Linked DNA regions of Ovis aries. Each later gene encodes a partner of the first gene's protein in a complex. Links are inferred from orthologs where the notes say so. Each region holds a gene or a part of one and is shown on either strand. Other genes may lie near its edges.

Region 1 (5,168 bases):
GGTGTGGTGTGGTGTGGTGTGTGTGTGTGGTGGGTATGTGTGTATGTGGGTGTGGTGTGGGTGTGTGTGTGTGGTGTGGTGTGTATGTGGGGGGTGTATGTGTGGGGTGGGGGTGTGTGTGGGGTGGTGTGGTGTGTGTGTGGGGTGGGTATGTGTGTGTGGTGTGGTGTATATGGGGTGTGTGTCTGGTATGGTGTGTATGTGGGGTGGGTATGTGTGGGGTGGGTATGTATGTGTGGTGTGGTGTGTATGTGTGTGATGTGATGTGTGTGTGTATGTGGGTTGTGTGTGTTGCTCCATCGAGTCCGACGCTGTGCAACCCCATACACTGTAGCCTGCCAGGCTTCTCTGTTCGTGGAATTTTCCAGGCAGGAATACTGGAGTGGGTTGCCATGCCCTCCTCCAGGGAATCTTCCTGACCCAGGGATCGAAACCCATCTCTTATATCTCCTGCACTGGCAGGTGGATTCTTTACCACTGCACCACTTGGAAATCTGTGGATACCTATGAACCACGTTTAAAATGAAAAGACAGTGTGGCAAAACAGAGAAAAATCTTACAGAAGGACTAGAACAGGGGTGGAAATTGGCTTCTCTTCAAGTGTAAGCTCTGTACTCTTGGAATGCTGTGGTGAGACGGATTCTGAGCTATGTCCATGCCCCACGGGAAACAGGCAGTCATGTCTACCAGGTGGGTGGGCAGGGGCAGCACTAGCACTCAGGCCATATACCTGCCATCCCACTAGTATACAGACAGGCAAAGAGCTAGTGAATTACACTTGGGCCTTGGGCAAGCCTCCCAGGTAGAGGTCCAGATCCCAGAAGGTTCATGGAGGGAGAAGAGGGACCAATCCAGGAAGCCTTCCTGGAAAAAGGGGACAAGAGGGAGGATGTGAGCGTGGTACAAGGTCCTGATGGGCCAGAACGAGCCTTACTTGGGGAAGTGGGTGAGGATGAGGGTCCTCTTCTCGGGCACCAGCTTGTCCTTCTCTACTCGGAACTTCTCTAGCAGCTGTCGCCGGGTAACCGTGAAGATGGAGCGGAGAAGGCTGCGCCCGAAGACGTGAGTGGTCTCATACCGGGGGAGGCTATCGCAGCTCTGGGGCACGTGGCAGTAGCAGAGCCATCTGCAAGAGCAGGAGGTGGTAAGGGAGAGCAGAAACCAAGTTCAGGCTGAGCCTACAAGCCTCCCCCCATGCTATCCCTGGCTGGACCTACCTGGTGTAATTGACCTTGTAGGTAGCCACATCCTCGGCCTGAGACCTCTGCCGAAATTGGGCAGGTGTCTCAAGCTTCCAGTAGTTAAGGCAGAGCAGGAACATCTTTGAGAGCTCGAACATCGTCTGCCGCTCCCGGGGAGCCAGGTGACTAAACTTGTACTGCACAAAGTTTAGCACGCCCTGGGCAGGGAGGGGAAGGGAAAAAATAGGAGAAGAGGTGTGAGCAGCTAGCATGGCCTTCTTATCCAAAAGTAAGGTGCTTCCTGAGGGCAGGGGGCTCTCTCGGGCTTTCACTCTCACTTTGAGCAGGAGAGATTATACCGCTTCCCACCTAGTATACCCACCCTGAGATTAGCACAAAGCAATCTCCTTTCTCCTAACCTCTCCCCTGTTCTCAGGGCAGGTGGGGGGCGGCAGATAACACAGGCTCCCTGCTCCTCCAAGATGCCCTCAATCCTCTTACCACCTTCCTCATCCCACCTGCTCAATATTAGGCTTCTCAAATGGGGGGCTGCCCAGGGACCCCTCCACCACAGGCCGGGTCATCTGCAGGATGCATTTCCGCAGGAGCTGCAGGAAGAGGGAGGGGTAGAGATCAGTGGAGCACAGAGCTGCAGACCTTCCCAGCCTCCCTTTTGCCCACTCACACTCTCATTTGAAGGAAGCTCACCTTGAAGAGGTAGAAATAGACCTGCTTGGTGTCCGTGTCCTCCTCCTTATGAACAGACATGAACAGATTCTCCACGTCCACCACCATCCCCAGCAGCCGGTTAATCTCATCCTCCGACACGTTCTCCAGGTGGGACACGTGGTCAGCTGTAAGAATAAGTGGTAGTTGGGGAAAACTGACAGAAAAAAATCAACAGGACTTCCTCCTCCTCATTATTGCCAGCCAAGACACATCCTGAGTCCCTCTGACCAGTGTGACCAGGCAATGAGATTGACTGCTCCTATGTCAGCCCTGGGGGGCCTCTTGTCTCTTTTGGTGGGAGGTTTCCTTTCTGCTTCCTTGGGGCATACACACTCCCAGCCCAATTCCTCCTTAGGAGGCATCTTCTGTCTTTCAGAGATGAAACTGAGTGGTCCTGTCCAAGCAGGACCCAGCACTTCCACCTCCCCAACCCCAGTTCCACGGGTACTATCTGCCTTACCCAAAGGGTGCTCACAGCTGCGGCACAGCTCGCTCAGGTTCGCCGCTGGCTGCTGCAGATCCATGCGGGGTGCAGTGGGGGGCTTGGGGTTTTTCCAGCCATTACACTTGCAGGTTTCATTGGCCTGGAAGCAGAAGTATCAGTCAATAAGCGTGTAACCCGGGGAAGAGTAGCCGCTCCCCTGTCACAGCTTTGCCCGGATTCCCACCCAAGCCCTAGGATGCCCCAAGCCCCGCCCCCTGTTACCCCCAGGCCCCGCCCCCACCTTGCAAGCCGAGAAGACCCCTAGCTTCTCAAGCTTCTTGGCGCGCGGCAGCCCCCGGACTTGCGCCTTCCTTTGGCTGGCGCGCTGCTGCTGGCTCAGGCCAGGTCGAGCCGGATCACCCCCGCTCCCGGTACCCCCACTTCCTACCCCGGGCCCCCCAGTCCCTGTGCTCCCGGCTGGGGCTGTAGCTGGGGCAGGGGCTGGTGCCGGAGTGGGAGCCGGAGTGGGGGCCGAAGCTGGGCTGAGGGTAGGAGTCGGAGTTGGGGCAGGGGCTGGGGACTGAAGCGGACGGGGCTGCGCGGCAGGGGCCGGGGTAGAGGCCTGGGAAGGTTCCGCCATGGCCTCCCCAGAAGCGGAGCGCGGCGCAGCGCGGCGCTCCCAGCCCTAGGGCCGCATGGGCAACCGGCATTCAATGCGCAGGCGTCGCTGCCCCAGAGTATGATGGGAGTTGTAGTCTTTCACGATTAGTTTCGTCGCCTCCAGGTTCCAGACTTTTCTGTCCTGTCCCTCGATCCCGGACAGCCAAATGAGGCTCGAGCCAGCACCCCAGATTGACTCCTCCTCACTTGTAATCCTTTTAGAAGGCTTCCGAGGTAGTCAAGATTACTGCCTTTTGAGGGCAAGGAGAAGCACCCCAGAAAACAGGCTTCTGTTTGGGGAATCACCTCTCAAGCCATAAAGGTGGAAATCCAGGCCTGGGGCCAGAAGTGTAGTGGTTTCATGCCCACCTCCCTCCTCCCCTCACTCTGCCCCTATCCCCCACGTTTCTGGACACAGAATTGTAGCTAGTTCAGTTCAATTCAGTTGCTCAGTCGTGTCAGACTCTTTGCGACTAGGGTGGTGATTAAATAACAATAGTTCTATTTCTTGACCTGTTAAGTGGTTACATGGTTGTGCTTTGTGCGCTTTTCTCTGTGTTAACTTATACTTCAACAAAAAGAGGTTTATTATTAAAAGCACTGAGCGTCAGAGTAATGGCCAGGGTCAGGAAAAAGGCTCCTGAGGTGGGGATGAGGGAGCATGGGACGTGCTATACACCCACACCGTGGGCACCTCCCAGTCAGGGCCCACGTCTTCATCTTTGTGGTCCCAGAGCCCAGCTCTGAGCCTGCCGCGATAGGCCAAGGGTAGGATGAATGAAGGAAACCAGAAAGACGCGTTCATCTTCTAGTACAGGTTCATATGTGGTCAGAGAACTGTAGGATATTACAAGAACCAATGACCCCGTGGTCACACTGATGGCTCTGTTCGGGGGCAATCCTCCTTGCCCCAAGGCCTGATTCGCAGAAGAGCAAGAATCTCATGGCTCAATCTCATCTTCACTCCATGCTAGTGACCGCTGCAGGGTCGGGCTCAAGCACTGCCAACCTCTTTTGTTGGGTCACAGCCCTGGCCGCCCGGCCCTGTGATGGAGGTAGGACAGAGCCCTGACCAAAAAAGGAGCAGGATCTGGGATAAAAGCAGCAGCAAGAGGCTACAGAGCAGCTGCCAACCTGACCCGTGGAGGTAGGACATGCAGTTCAGTTCAGTTCAGTTCAGTCGCTCAGTCGTGTCCTACTCTTTACGACCCCATGAATCGCAGCACGCCAGGCCTCCCTGTCCATCACCAACTCCCGGAGCAGAGCTGACCTCAAACTCAGCGGAACCGAACCTCTCTGGAAGCCAAGGGAGCGCCCTGCTCAGAGCTGCTCAGCGCAGCGCGCAGCGCTAGTGTAACGACGCGGGGCCACGAGGCCCCGCCCCCCCAGCTCCGACAGGCCGCTAAGTTCTGAGCCTCGAGCCCAACAGCAGTTGCTCACTCGGATGCAGCGGGTCGGTGGCAGTCTCCCTAGCGGGAGCCAGTCGGCCTCCCGATGTCCCAGCGTGGCCTTTATTGAACAGAACCAGGTGGCCACTCTACCGGTGCAGCGGCTCACGGAGGATGTGGCAGCTGTGCGGGACAACGTCCACCCGGAGGATGGCTTCCAGATGAAACTGTATGCCCATGGCTTCACCCCCGAGGAGCTGTTGGTTCAGGTGAACAGCGGATGCCTGGTGGTGACTGGCCAGCGACAACTGGAGGGCTGCAACCCGGATGGGACCGGCTTCCGCGTGGCGCAGAAGGTGCACCAGCAAATGTCACTACCACCGGACCTGGATCCCGCTGCCATGACTTGCTGCCTGACCCCCTCCGGCCAGCTGTGTGTCCGTGGCCAGTGCCGGGCACTGCCTCCCTCTGAGGCTCAAACAGGACCCGCCTCGAGATTCAGAAGCCGTGGCTCTAAGAAACTAGCCTGACCCAGTAAACAACCACCGTAGTGAGCAACAGCTTCAGTGTCCGTGGTCTTTTCTTGGGGCTGGGATCAGAGGTGTAAGTTGAACAAAGGTAGAAGGCCAAGGGGAGGGCCTGGAGGGGAAGGAAAGGCACCTCAAGGTGGTGGCCTATCATAAATCAGGCGGGGGGGGGGGGGGGGGGGGGGGGGGGGGGAAGCTGGAGGGACAGTGGGCAGTGTTGTTTCACTCAGCTCGGCTCACTGCTTGGACCAGCAGCTCC
Region 2 (3,267 bases), on another chromosome or scaffold:
AGCACGCCAGGCTTCCTGACCACCACCAACACCCAGAGCTTACTCAAATTCATATCCATCGAGTCAGTGATGCCATCCAACCATCTCATCCTCAGTTGTCCCCTTCTCCTCCCACAGTAGTATATATAATGGTCATCTGAGTTAAAATTCACCCATTCCAGTCCATTTTAGTTTGTTAATTCCTAAAATATTGATGTTCACTCTTGCCATCTTCTGCTTGACGACTACTAATTTACCTTGATTCAAGGACCTAACATTCCAGGTTCATATGCAATACGGCTCTTTACAGCATCAGACTTTACTTCCATCACCAGTCACATCCACAATTGGGTGTTATTTTTGCTTTGGCTCTGTCTTTTCATTCTTTCTGGAGTTAGTTCTCCACCGATCTCCAGCAGCATATTGGGCACCTACCAACTTGGGGAGTTCATCTTTCAGTGTCCTTCCTATCTTTGTGCCTTTTCATGCTGTTCATGGAGTTCTCAAGGCAAGAATACGGTTTGCCATTCCCTTCTCCAGTGGACTGCGTTTTGTCAGAACTCTCCACCATGATCCATCTGTCTTGGGTGGCCCTACACAGCATGGCTCAGTTTCAATGAGTCAGATAAGGCTGTGGTCCATGTGATCAGTTTGATTAGTTTTCTGAGATTGTGGTTTTCATTCTGTCTGCCCTCTGATGGATAAGGATAATACATTTATGGAAGATTCCTGATGGGAGAGACTGACTGAGGGGTCACTTAAGCATTAAAACGGATACACTCAGAGAGTAGAATATAACACATCTGTACTGTTAAAAACCTATACCTTAAGGCCAAGTGCACATCAGGTGATAGCTGGCCCCTCCCAGTCTGCTGGGGGGTCTCTGGAAGGCCAGGGTGGTGCTGACTCTCTGAAAGGGAAGAGGGTGAGAAGAGCCCAGAAGACCCCTTTTATATTTTTTTAATTGAAGGATAACTGCTCTACAGAATTTTATTGTTTTCTGTCAACCCTCAACATGAATCAGCCATAGGTATACATATGTCCCCTCCCTCTTGAACCTCCCTCCAGAAGACTCTCTTCTCGAAGGCTCATTGTTGCCCTGGGGAACCTGGTATCTGAGTGACCCCGTATATCCAGCCTGGGTCTTGTGGGGGAGGGGAAAAGAGCCTGCGGAGCCCTGGAGCCCATCCCAGTTATCAGAGACATGTGACAGGACAGTCTCAGACTTTTCCCTTGGGGGAGACACACACATTTCCCTTGAATGAAGGGATTCCAGCTCCCTCTAAGCACAGACTCCAGAACAGAGGTCCTGGTGTACAAGGATCACAGATGCAAAATTTTACATATGCAGAGCTTTCCTTGCATTCTCAAACGGAATCGTGTCCCACCCCCACCCCGCCAACCACCCACAAAATAAAAACTACTGCTCTTAAGAGAGCTGGAGAGCAAACTGGCTAGACTGGCCACAGGTTGTCACAAAAAGATATTTTATTTGAGAACATCTGATACTGTGGGAAGCATTTCTACTAAATCCAAAAGCACCTGACTGATGGTCCACTTCCACTCTCCACAAGCCAGCCAACAGCCTCGGCAGGCAGACGCAAGGTGTGTCTGTCCACGGCTGACCCCTCCACCACCGCACACCTTCGTCAGGGGCACAATCAAACAGGAGGCTGCCCAGCTCCTCCAGCCCCAAACTGACCTTACTTGACAGGACAGGAGAACAGCTCTCGCCTCCCAGGCCAGGGCCCCAGCCGGACATGCTCACAGGAGAAAGGTCAGGTGACGTCTCACACAAGACACTGTAACCAAAGTCAGCGCATGCCCCGCTCTGGGGACAGCACAGCCGGGTTGGGACAGGCTGAGTCAGCATGTGGTCGTCACCAGGACGGCACAGGGCCTAGTGGACATGGCAAGGATCTTGGACTACAATCACCCTGCTCACTTTAAATGGGACAGACCTTCTCTCCTCAGGAACATCAGCTCAGGCCTTTCTGGCTCAACGCGCTTTCGGCTGAAGGTCGGCACACCTGGCAGTCTTGGCTGACCCGCACTCACGTCAGCCCTCTCCTCCAAGCGCGTGTGTCCCGTGAGGAGCCACGCTCACGTCAGCCCTCTCCTCCAAGTGTGTGCCCTGGGAGGAGCCGCGCTCACGTCAGCCCTCTCCTCCAAGCGCGTGTGTCCCGTGAGGAGCCGCGCTCACGTCAGCGTCGCAGACGCAGAAAGAACGCGTGCTTACACTCCGTGCTCTCCAGGGGGTAATACTTGTCATAAAAGTCTAAGACGTACTCTTCCGTCTTGAACCCGAACTTCTGGTAGAGCAGCATGGCAGGGTTGCTGGCGGAGACGTGCAGGGTCACGTCCTTGCCCATGCAGGTCTGCAAGAGTGGAGAAGCACACAGTGAGAACGAGAGGGCCTCGGGGAAAAGGAGTGGGTGGAGAGAGTCCCTGACTTTAAGGCAGTCAGGTACAGAGGCTGGAAGAGTCCGGCCTGAGGCTGGGGTACGGGACCACCAGCCAGCGCCTGTGGGGGAACCCAAGAACCCTCGCTGAAACGTTCCAGACTGAGGTGGTGGACGGTAAGCGGATTGAATGTTTTTCCCCAGTTTTTAATGAAACTTACTCAGTAATTCCCACATGTTGGTGTCTGTCCACCTTTGATGAGGCCTCTTAGTATAGGAAGCCTTAAGGACCCTGGTTTGTAAAACCTCCAGTTTTTTCTCTCTGGAGCAAAGAGCCACTGGGGATATTTCACTGCCAACTGTTTTATAATTCAGTTACATTTAAGTATATCCAGCGTAACAATACCAAACCCTATGACAACCTTGAAAAAACAAGGGACAAGATCAGACGTTCTGTTTTTAAAAACTAGATGTCATCCTGCAAGACAATCATAAATGCTCCCACCCTGGACCTACTAGGAAAGATGTCAAGTTATGTGACCAAGTATGAAACCTCAAGACTTCTGTTTAATTATACAAGCTGGGTATCCCCTAGGGACATTCTGAATCCCAAAGACCCCCTCAGCACTCCCAGACTTCTCAGAACTGAGGTTTCTTCATGTACCACCAGCCTTGTCCCATGGGGAAAAAGAGGGGGGTCTGTTCTACTGCAGCTAGGCAGGTTCTCAGATTCTTTAATTAACAACACAGAAGAGAGCAACGGAAGTTACATAAACTCAGAACTGGCTCTTTAATGAGGAGGTGCTGAGACTGTGGACTTCATGAGTCCTGGAGGTTTTACAACCCCAGGGTCCTTAAGGCTTCCTATACTAAGAGGCCTCATCAA
Region 3 (4,368 bases), about 29 Mb from region 1:
GACTTCCTAGAGTATATCCTCTGTCAGATGTTGATAAAATATACTATGCTGCCTCCCTTATATCCAGGGCCTTGAAGAAACAGATTTGAATTCTATTCATATTTTGCTTATATTTATCAAGCATCATAAAATTTTGTTTACTATAGGAATACCGAAAATAGAAAAAAGTGATCATTTTCTTGCTAGGCTTCTTTGGCCTAGTTTTTCATTTTTTGTCTAAAAGAGGCTATTCCTCTTTGTACCCCTTCCTTAGCAAAGACCATCATTTGTCTCTCCGCTGTGGGTAAGGCACTAAGCTTGGTGGTGAGGATGCTGGAGCCAAGAATTATGACATGTATCCTGTCTCCAGGAAGCTTGTAGTCTAGTAGGGGAATCAGCATAAATGTACAGTTGGTTGAAGTACATAAATCAGAGCATAGTGATGCCTCAGGAGGCAAGTGAAGTGGAGGCACGTGCTTTAGGAGGCACAATACAAGTGAAGTGTCGTGGAAGAGAGAGGTTGCGAGGGGACTTTGAGAGATTTCACCTCGACTTCTGCATCATCTGGGCCAGGAGTCAGGGTTCTTTAGTACAAATTAAGTGGCTTTGACACTTCCGTGTTTTGTGTTCTCAAGCAAGTTTGTTAACTTCTTTGGGCCTCATTTTTTTCATCTGTGAAACTGAGATAGTAAATACACTACACAGTTAATACTAGCATTGATTGATTGTACATATTTCCAGCTTAGAGCTTGGTCTGTCATGAGAGCTCTAGTAAAGAAATGTTTGTTCACATGAAGTGTTTTGTAAACTATAAAATATGCAAATATAAATGTTCTGGCTTATTATTAATTATAGCAATTCTTTTGATAGAGCCTAGCTCACAGGGAAATTCACAGATTTTCTAATAATCTTCCTTATTTTGTTGAAAAGAAAAGGACTTTTTTAGATATTGGCACCTCTATCATGGAATAGCAGGATTTGAAACATCGGATTATACCAATGCTATGTTTATATTTGTCTCACTGTTCTGCCAGTAGCTGCATGATATCAGTTTGGGGGTATCAAATTCCACACATTGTATCAGTGGGGCTTAAAATATGGAAAAAACAAACCATACTTTGACCATTATGTATAATGAAAACTCTGCTTCCTTTTCTCACTTTCCACACTCTAGGCAGGATGTAGCCAATCAGATGTGCACCAAGACCAAGGAGGAGTGTGAGAAGCACTATATGAAGCATTTCATCAATAACCCTCTGTTTGCATCTACCCTGCTGAACCTGAAGCAAGCAGAGGAGGCAAAAACTGCTGATACAGCCATTCCATTTCACTGTAAGTACCTCCCTGTATCAGTAAGACAGTCTAGTGTGGAAATCATTATAATTAACCATCCCAGTATTAAGCCCAAGAAGCAATTTGTTATTTTCATTCACTTGGTTGTGGCAATTATAGCAAACTTATTTTTTTTTTCAATCTCATGTGACTTAGGGACTCATGGGTCTAACAAAACATAACCAAACCCATGATGAATTATAAGTGGACATCCTTTCTGAATGACTCCCAGGGCACAAATAATGAGATATGATTATTTTTCTTTCCCCTGCCTATTTCCTCATACTTTCTGGAGACAGTTTCGTAGCTGACTAACTCAAAACCTGGGGCTATCTCCTGTTTGGATAGCCCTTCGGATGTTAGCGCTTTGTTCTCAAATGGTTTAGACCATTTCTTCCTCATGGCAATGCAGTGAGACAGAAAGAGCAAGTGTTTTGGTTTTGCACACAAGGAACCTGAAATTCAGAAAGGTTAAATAATTTGTGCAAGATCACAGGACTAGTGACTCAATTCCAGCTCACTCCAAATCCAGTGGTGTTTTTGCCTATCAGTTGGATGGGATTTATAAATTGATACCTGAGAAGGGAGCTGAAGCAGACAGAGTAAATACTTAAGTTCTATAATGCTACAGAAAAGATCTTTGATTTTCTTTTATATTAGGGAAGTAAAAAGCAGAGGGAATTTTCCATATTTACTTAGAGGGTTCCCTAAATCTTAGTTTCTTTCTTTCTTTTTTTTTTTTTTTTTTCTTTTCCCTGCCCCTTGTAGCATGTGGGGTCTTAGTTCCCCAACCAGGAATCGAACCCATGTCCCTTGCAGAGGAAGTGCAGTCTTAACCACTAGACCACCAGGGAAGTCCCCTTAATTTCTTTATTAAGAAGTCAGTTTGTTTCCATAATACTTTACTTTTTTACTTTCCTTTATAAAAATCTTTTGAATTTTATTTATTCTCTCAGACACTATCTTTCTCCAAATAAAAATATTTCAGAATCTAAATGAGAACTTTTTTTGTGTTATTTTTTATGCCAGTATTTTATTAAGGTACTAAGAAAAACTCGAAATTCTTTCAGCTGCAGATGACCCTCCCCGACCTACCTTTGACTCCTTGCTTTCTCGGGACATGGCAGGATACATGCCAGCTCGAGCAGATTTCATTGAGGTAGGAGAAACTTGTTTTTGTTTCGGATGAGGCCATATCACTTACCTGTAGGTTTCATACCACTAAAAAGCTTTTCAAAACACTGTAATTTGTAGGGCCTTAGGCAGTCTCATTTTCTCTGAGTGCCTTTTCTCATTTGTAAACTTTTTTTTTTTTGGAAAGGTAGAAGTTCTTCAGACCAAGAACTTATTTCTTTACCACTAGTGCTACCTGGGAAGGCCCCTTAAGAACTTATTTCTTAAGTCCCATTTCCTTAGTAAGTATAGGGTTTCTGTAGTCTGATTCTCATTCCATACCTAGAGGGTTCCAAGGTTGTATTATGTCAGGGGGGTGGGAAACTTTTTCTATTAAGGTCCTGATAGTAAATATTTTAAATTTTATAGACCATAAAGTCTCTGTTGGAACTAAACTTTGCCATAATTGTGCAGAAAGCAGCATAGATAATAGTAAACAAATGAGCATGCTGGTGCACCAGTAAAACTTTATTTACAAAAATAGGCAGTGGGCTAAATTTGGTCTGTAGGCTGTAGTTTGCTGTCTTCTGTATTATATTCACAAGTGTATGAAGAATGATGAATGGGTGGAAAAGCTACCTGTTCTTGCAGCCATAAAGCCATGTGAATGCAGTCACATGTCTCTTGATTTACCACCTCATCCACAATTACAGCACTCCTGGAGGTAATTAAAGTTTAGCAAACTACAAACAGTTTTGCTGGCCACACCCAGGTCAGCATTTTGTTCTTGGCAGCTGCTGTTGTAGAGCTCCCTCGTAGACACTACCCCTGCGTATTGTACTCACTGAACAGAATATGAACAAATCTACCCACTGAGCTGTATAACCAATATTCTGGAATAAATAGAGCCCTCAGGTGGTGGTAGAAAGGTAGATGAATTAATGCACACAATTTTCTTACCTAAATACTTGAAGGACTAGTCAGAGTGAGATTTTCTTGATTTACATTTTATGAACAGACTACTTTTAGAACCAAATATTTATTCCTGGACTCATAGCGTTCTCATTTTTTTGCTGTCAGTATTGCCTGAAAGCCTCTCAGATTTTTCCCGTGATTTATTACTTATGGCAGTTATCCTGGCCTTGTACCCCATTCAGTACTTTTTAACAAGTGTTTGTATATTTGCTGTTTGCTTTTAATGCATGACTCCTATAAAGGCATTACTCAAAGCTGATGGATCTGAGGTGGGAATTTTTTTCCCCAAACAGGAGTTTGACAATTATGCGGAGTGGGACTTGAGAGATATTGATTTTGTCGAAGATGACTCGGACATTCTACACGGTAACATTTTATTTCAATAAGTGTTTCTATTGATTGCAACCTGTAATGAGACAGTGCTGGCTGCTAGGAATGTAAGAATGAATAAGATAGTCTCCTGCCCCTTATGGGACTGAAAGTATAGTGGTTAAGATGCTGAACATATCCTGTTGCCGGGATTTGACCATAATGAGAAGATCATTTGTGATGATGGTGAGAATGTTGATCATATAATGGTAGTTGGGAATATCCCATCTCTTGGACTATGTGAGCTTTCTTTTGAGACAAGCCTATGCTGAGGTAATTGTTTAAATGGTCCTCACTGCCTCCTTAAAAGAAAAGGAATCAGAGTGAAAACCTGGGACTTCAACAGCAACTACTGATACTAAATGTTCATTGTAATTTGTTACCCCAGATTTCTCATAGCAGGGGAAAAGAATGGAAGTTCAAGAGTTTTTAGACCAAGACTGAAAATTTCTTCTTTCTCAGAACTGTTGGATTTTTAGCACTTCTGAATTCTTAAGATTAGCCTGCTGTTGGTCTTTTGTTATAAGTAAATGGTTAATGTCAATAAGGCTCTTAAAAGTGGATGGTTAGACTTTTACTGGAATATCTTTTTTTCCTTTT
Region 4 (3,411 bases), on another chromosome or scaffold:
GCTAAAATGAACTAAGATCAGGGTTACATTTTAAAGTTTCTTGCTAGTTGTATTGCTTAAACAAGATAACACATGCTCAATAATTTATTTTAATATCTCTGTAGTTTTATTTTATAAAACATTGTGATCTAGTGGATAAATTGAGTTTCAGCCCTAGTTCCAAGGCTAAGTAGCTGTGTGCACTTTGGCATGTTATTAAGTGTTCTGAACCTCACTTTCTTCTCTTGTACCCTGAAATGATAGCACCTAATTTAAAGGCATTAGCATAGTGATTGGTAAGTAGGAGGAACAGTTCAAATGTTAGTTCTTCTCCTAAACTCTGATATATTAAATAATTGCCTTAAATTGTTTTAATAAATGTATTTTTTAAAAGTAATATTTCTGGATCATTTTAGATCTTAGCCTGATAGATAAAGAATCTGATGATGTCTTAGAAAGAATCATGGATGAGAAAACAGCAAGTGAGCTGAAGATCTTGTATGGTCACAGTGGTCCCGTCTATGGAGCCAGCTTCAGTCCAGATAGGTAAAATACAAACTATAAGAATTAAATATTGCTATATTAATTGAGATTAAATGAAAGTTATATGAAATATATATGTGTGTTATGTGAAAGTTAACTACTAGAAACATTATGCAAATGTTGGGGAAAATAAGAAAAATCCCATGGTTGCCTATCATTCATTATCTTTTAGAATCTTGCCCTCTGCTAATTCATCTTGGGGTACTGGTGTATAGTAGCTAAATTTACAAAATCAGGATCCATAACTTCAGGGTTTGCTGGTTATAAAAATTAGCTTTAGTTTTGTGTAACTCCTATAGGGGTTGAGGATTGCTTCTTTGGGTTCCTGCTATGTGTTTGGTGGCTACTGCTGTCTTCTGCAGAGAAGGCAACGGCACCCCACTCCAGTACTCTTGCCTGGAAAATCCCATGGACTGAGGAGCCTGGTAGGCTGCAGTCCATGGAGTCGCTAAGAGTTGGACACAACTGAGCGACTTCACTTTCACTTTTCACTTTCATGCATTGAAGGAAATGGCAACCCACTCCAGTGTTCTTGCCTGGAGAATCCCAGGGACGGGGGAGCCTGGTGGACTGCCATCTGTGGGGTCGCAGAGTCGGACATGACTGAAACAATTCAGCAGCAGCAGCAGCAGTCTTCTGTCATCTCCAAATTCACAACAGATTCCTGCTATTAAAGGCATATTACCTATCAACTGAAGATTTATCTTTGTATAATCAAAAGAACTAATACTGATAAGGGAATTAGAAACCCATGAAAATGTTTATTTTTCATGATCTCTTAATATTCTATAGCAATATGGGGAGGGTATTTTTTTGTTTTGTAATACCATCTATGTCTTATTGCTTTCAGTCCAAAATCGTTCATAAAGATTTTCATCTTTACGAAACTTAGAGTAGAAGCCTTTTTCAGGTGACCTGATTTGACCATACTTTTTGTCATTACCTCTTGTTTTGTTTTTTTCCAAAGAACTGTGATTTTCTTAATAGATACTGTTTTTAAAAAAACCTAAGCTTATTCAGTAGGTGCTCAGTGGATGTAGTGTCATGGCCAACATTAGTACTTTCAACTCTTGTTATCTACTGTGAATTTCAGGCATAAATTAAAACTGAGATGTAGTAGTCAGTTACCTATATTTAACATATACAAACATACAGAGAAACTGGACAGGTAACTAAGTTATTCTAGGAATCAAATACGTTACCTTCTCTTTTCTCAGGAACTACCTGCTCTCCTCTTCAGAGGATGGAACTGTTAGATTGTGGAGTCTTCAAACATTTACTTGCTTGGTGGGATATAAAGGACACAACTATCCAGTGTGGGACACACAGTTTTCTCCATATGGATATTATTTTGTATCAGGGGGCCATGACAGAGTAGCTCGGTAAGAACATTATGAGCTTAGGACTGGGCCTGTTCAACGAACAGAATGGTTTCTTGTTGGGAATTACAAACCCCAGCCAACTTATTTTCACTTCTGTTATTATCAGCTTTTTGAGAATGTCAGCATTGGTAGGTCATCTGAAAACTAATTTGGGACAGAAATATTTCTGTCTGCAATCATGTCTACACCAAGAGTCCATGCCCTCCCCTTCCCCAAGTGGATACTAAACCTTGTCTTTTGCGGCCACTGTGAGCCCTTTCCCTGTCATATCTTTAAAAGTTCAGGATGAGGTAGCTTGGGTTTGAAATTATTTGTGGTCGCTCCCCTCCCCCCCCACCACTGGGGGCTTCCCTTGTGGCTCAATTAGTAAAGAATCTGCCTGCAATGCCAGAGACCCGGGTTTGATCCCTGGGTTGGGAGGATCCCTTGGAGAAGGAAGTGGCAACCCACTCTAGTTATTCTTGCTTGGGAAATCCCGTGCAGAATAGCCTGGTGGCTTCAGTGTATGGGGCTGCAGAGTCGGACACAACTTGGTGAGTAAACCACCATGTGGTAGCCAAAACGAGGGAAAAATACTCTAGCAGTTAGACTAGGAGTTAGAGTGTACATTCAGAGAATTAAAGGATTATAGAATTAAAAACCTTTTGGACCATGTTAACTGTTTTAAGAATGTTTAGGGAATTCCCTGGTAGTCCAGTGGTTAGGACTTGGTGCTTTCACTGCTGAGGGCACTAGTTAAATCCCTGGTTGGGGAACTAAGATCCTGCAAGCTGCATGGCATAGCTTTAAAAAAACACAAAAGATTAGTCTCTAAGTCATTCTGTCCTCCTTTCCCTCAGGTAAACTAGTGAGGGGGACCCACTTACGCTAATATTTCACATGGTTGTTTCTGTATTTTGGATAGAACTTGGCATTTCAGAGTTAACTACTAATTACCTTGTGTGTTCAATAATTTTTTAAAAAGGCTCTGGGCTACAGATCACTATCAGCCTTTACGGATATTTGCTGGCCATCTTGCTGATGTGAATTGTACCAGATTCCATCCAAATTCTAATTATGTTGCTACGGGCTCTGCAGACAGAACTGTGCGGCTCTGGGATGTCCTGAATGGGAACTGCGTAAGGATATTCACTGGACACAAGGTATTTTAACTTTCATTATTCCAGCACACAAGGTTAAGATTAAAAATAGTTTAAAAATTAACTAGTGACATACATTTTAAAGATACTGTCAACACCACTCAAGTTTATGTTAATATAGTTCTTTTGTCTCATTTTCCTAGGTGTTTTTAACCTTACTTTTGATTCTTGTCATGACTTTATTTTAGGGACCAATTCATTCCTTGACATTTTCTCCCAATGGGAGATTCCTGGCTACAGGAGCAACAGATGGCAGAGTACTCCTTTGGGATATTGGACATGGTTTGATGGTTGGAGAGTTAAAAGGACACACTGATACAGTCTGTTCACTTAGATTTAGTAGAGATGGTGAAATTTTGGCATCAGGT

Evidence for each region. Proteins that work in one complex are often made in the same cells at the same time.
Region 2: KAT2A (region 1) and KAT14 share a complex: the UniProt entries of both Homo sapiens proteins name them as parts of the ADA2A-containing complex. The link is inferred for Ovis aries from reciprocal best matches to the Homo sapiens genes KAT2A and KAT14.
Region 3: KAT2A (region 1) and TADA2A share a complex: the UniProt entries of both Homo sapiens proteins name them as parts of the ADA2A-containing complex. The link is inferred for Ovis aries from reciprocal best matches to the Homo sapiens genes KAT2A and TADA2A.
Region 4: KAT2A (region 1) and TAF5 share a complex: the UniProt entries of both Homo sapiens proteins name them as parts of the TFTC-HAT complex. The link is inferred for Ovis aries from reciprocal best matches to the Homo sapiens genes KAT2A and TAF5.

The regions. Positions count from the first base shown.
Region 1 is NC_056064.1:41,984,470-41,989,637, forward strand, and holds the start of KAT2A (histone acetyltransferase KAT2A), read right to left. Parts: upstream 3,040-5,168; 5' UTR 2,975-3,039; coding exon 2,636-2,974; intron 2,495-2,635; coding exon 2,371-2,494; intron 2,036-2,370; coding exon 1,890-2,035; intron 1,790-1,889; coding exon 1,700-1,789; intron 1,400-1,699; coding exon 1,218-1,399; intron 1,127-1,217; coding exon 935-1,126; intron 1-934. Other genes in the region: HSPB9 (heat shock protein beta-9), read left to right, coding at 4,439-4,912. UniProt on the Homo sapiens protein: Protein lysine acyltransferase that can act as a acetyltransferase, glutaryltransferase, succinyltransferase or malonyltransferase, depending on the context.
Region 2 is NC_056066.1:37,949,935-37,953,201, reverse strand, and holds part of KAT14 (cysteine-rich protein 2-binding protein), read right to left. Parts: intron 2,358-3,267; coding exon 2,184-2,357; 3' UTR 1-2,183. UniProt on the Homo sapiens protein: Component of the ATAC complex, a complex with histone acetyltransferase activity on histones H3 and H4. May function as a scaffold for the ATAC complex to promote ATAC complex stability. Has also weak histone acetyltransferase activity toward histone H4.
Region 3 is NC_056064.1:13,445,038-13,449,405, forward strand, and holds part of TADA2A (transcriptional adapter 2-alpha), read left to right. Parts: intron 1-1,153; coding exon 1,154-1,311; intron 1,312-2,381; coding exon 2,382-2,470; intron 2,471-3,692; coding exon 3,693-3,765; intron 3,766-4,368. UniProt on the Homo sapiens protein: Component of the ATAC complex, a complex with histone acetyltransferase activity on histones H3 and H4. Required for the function of some acidic activation domains, which activate transcription from a distant site. Binds double-stranded DNA.
Region 4 is NC_056075.1:23,668,345-23,671,755, forward strand, and holds part of TAF5 (transcription initiation factor TFIID subunit 5), read left to right. Parts: intron 1-395; coding exon 396-525; intron 526-1,739; coding exon 1,740-1,904; intron 1,905-2,868; coding exon 2,869-3,046; intron 3,047-3,231; coding exon 3,232-3,409; intron 3,410-3,411. UniProt on the Homo sapiens protein: The TFIID basal transcription factor complex plays a major role in the initiation of RNA polymerase II (Pol II)-dependent transcription.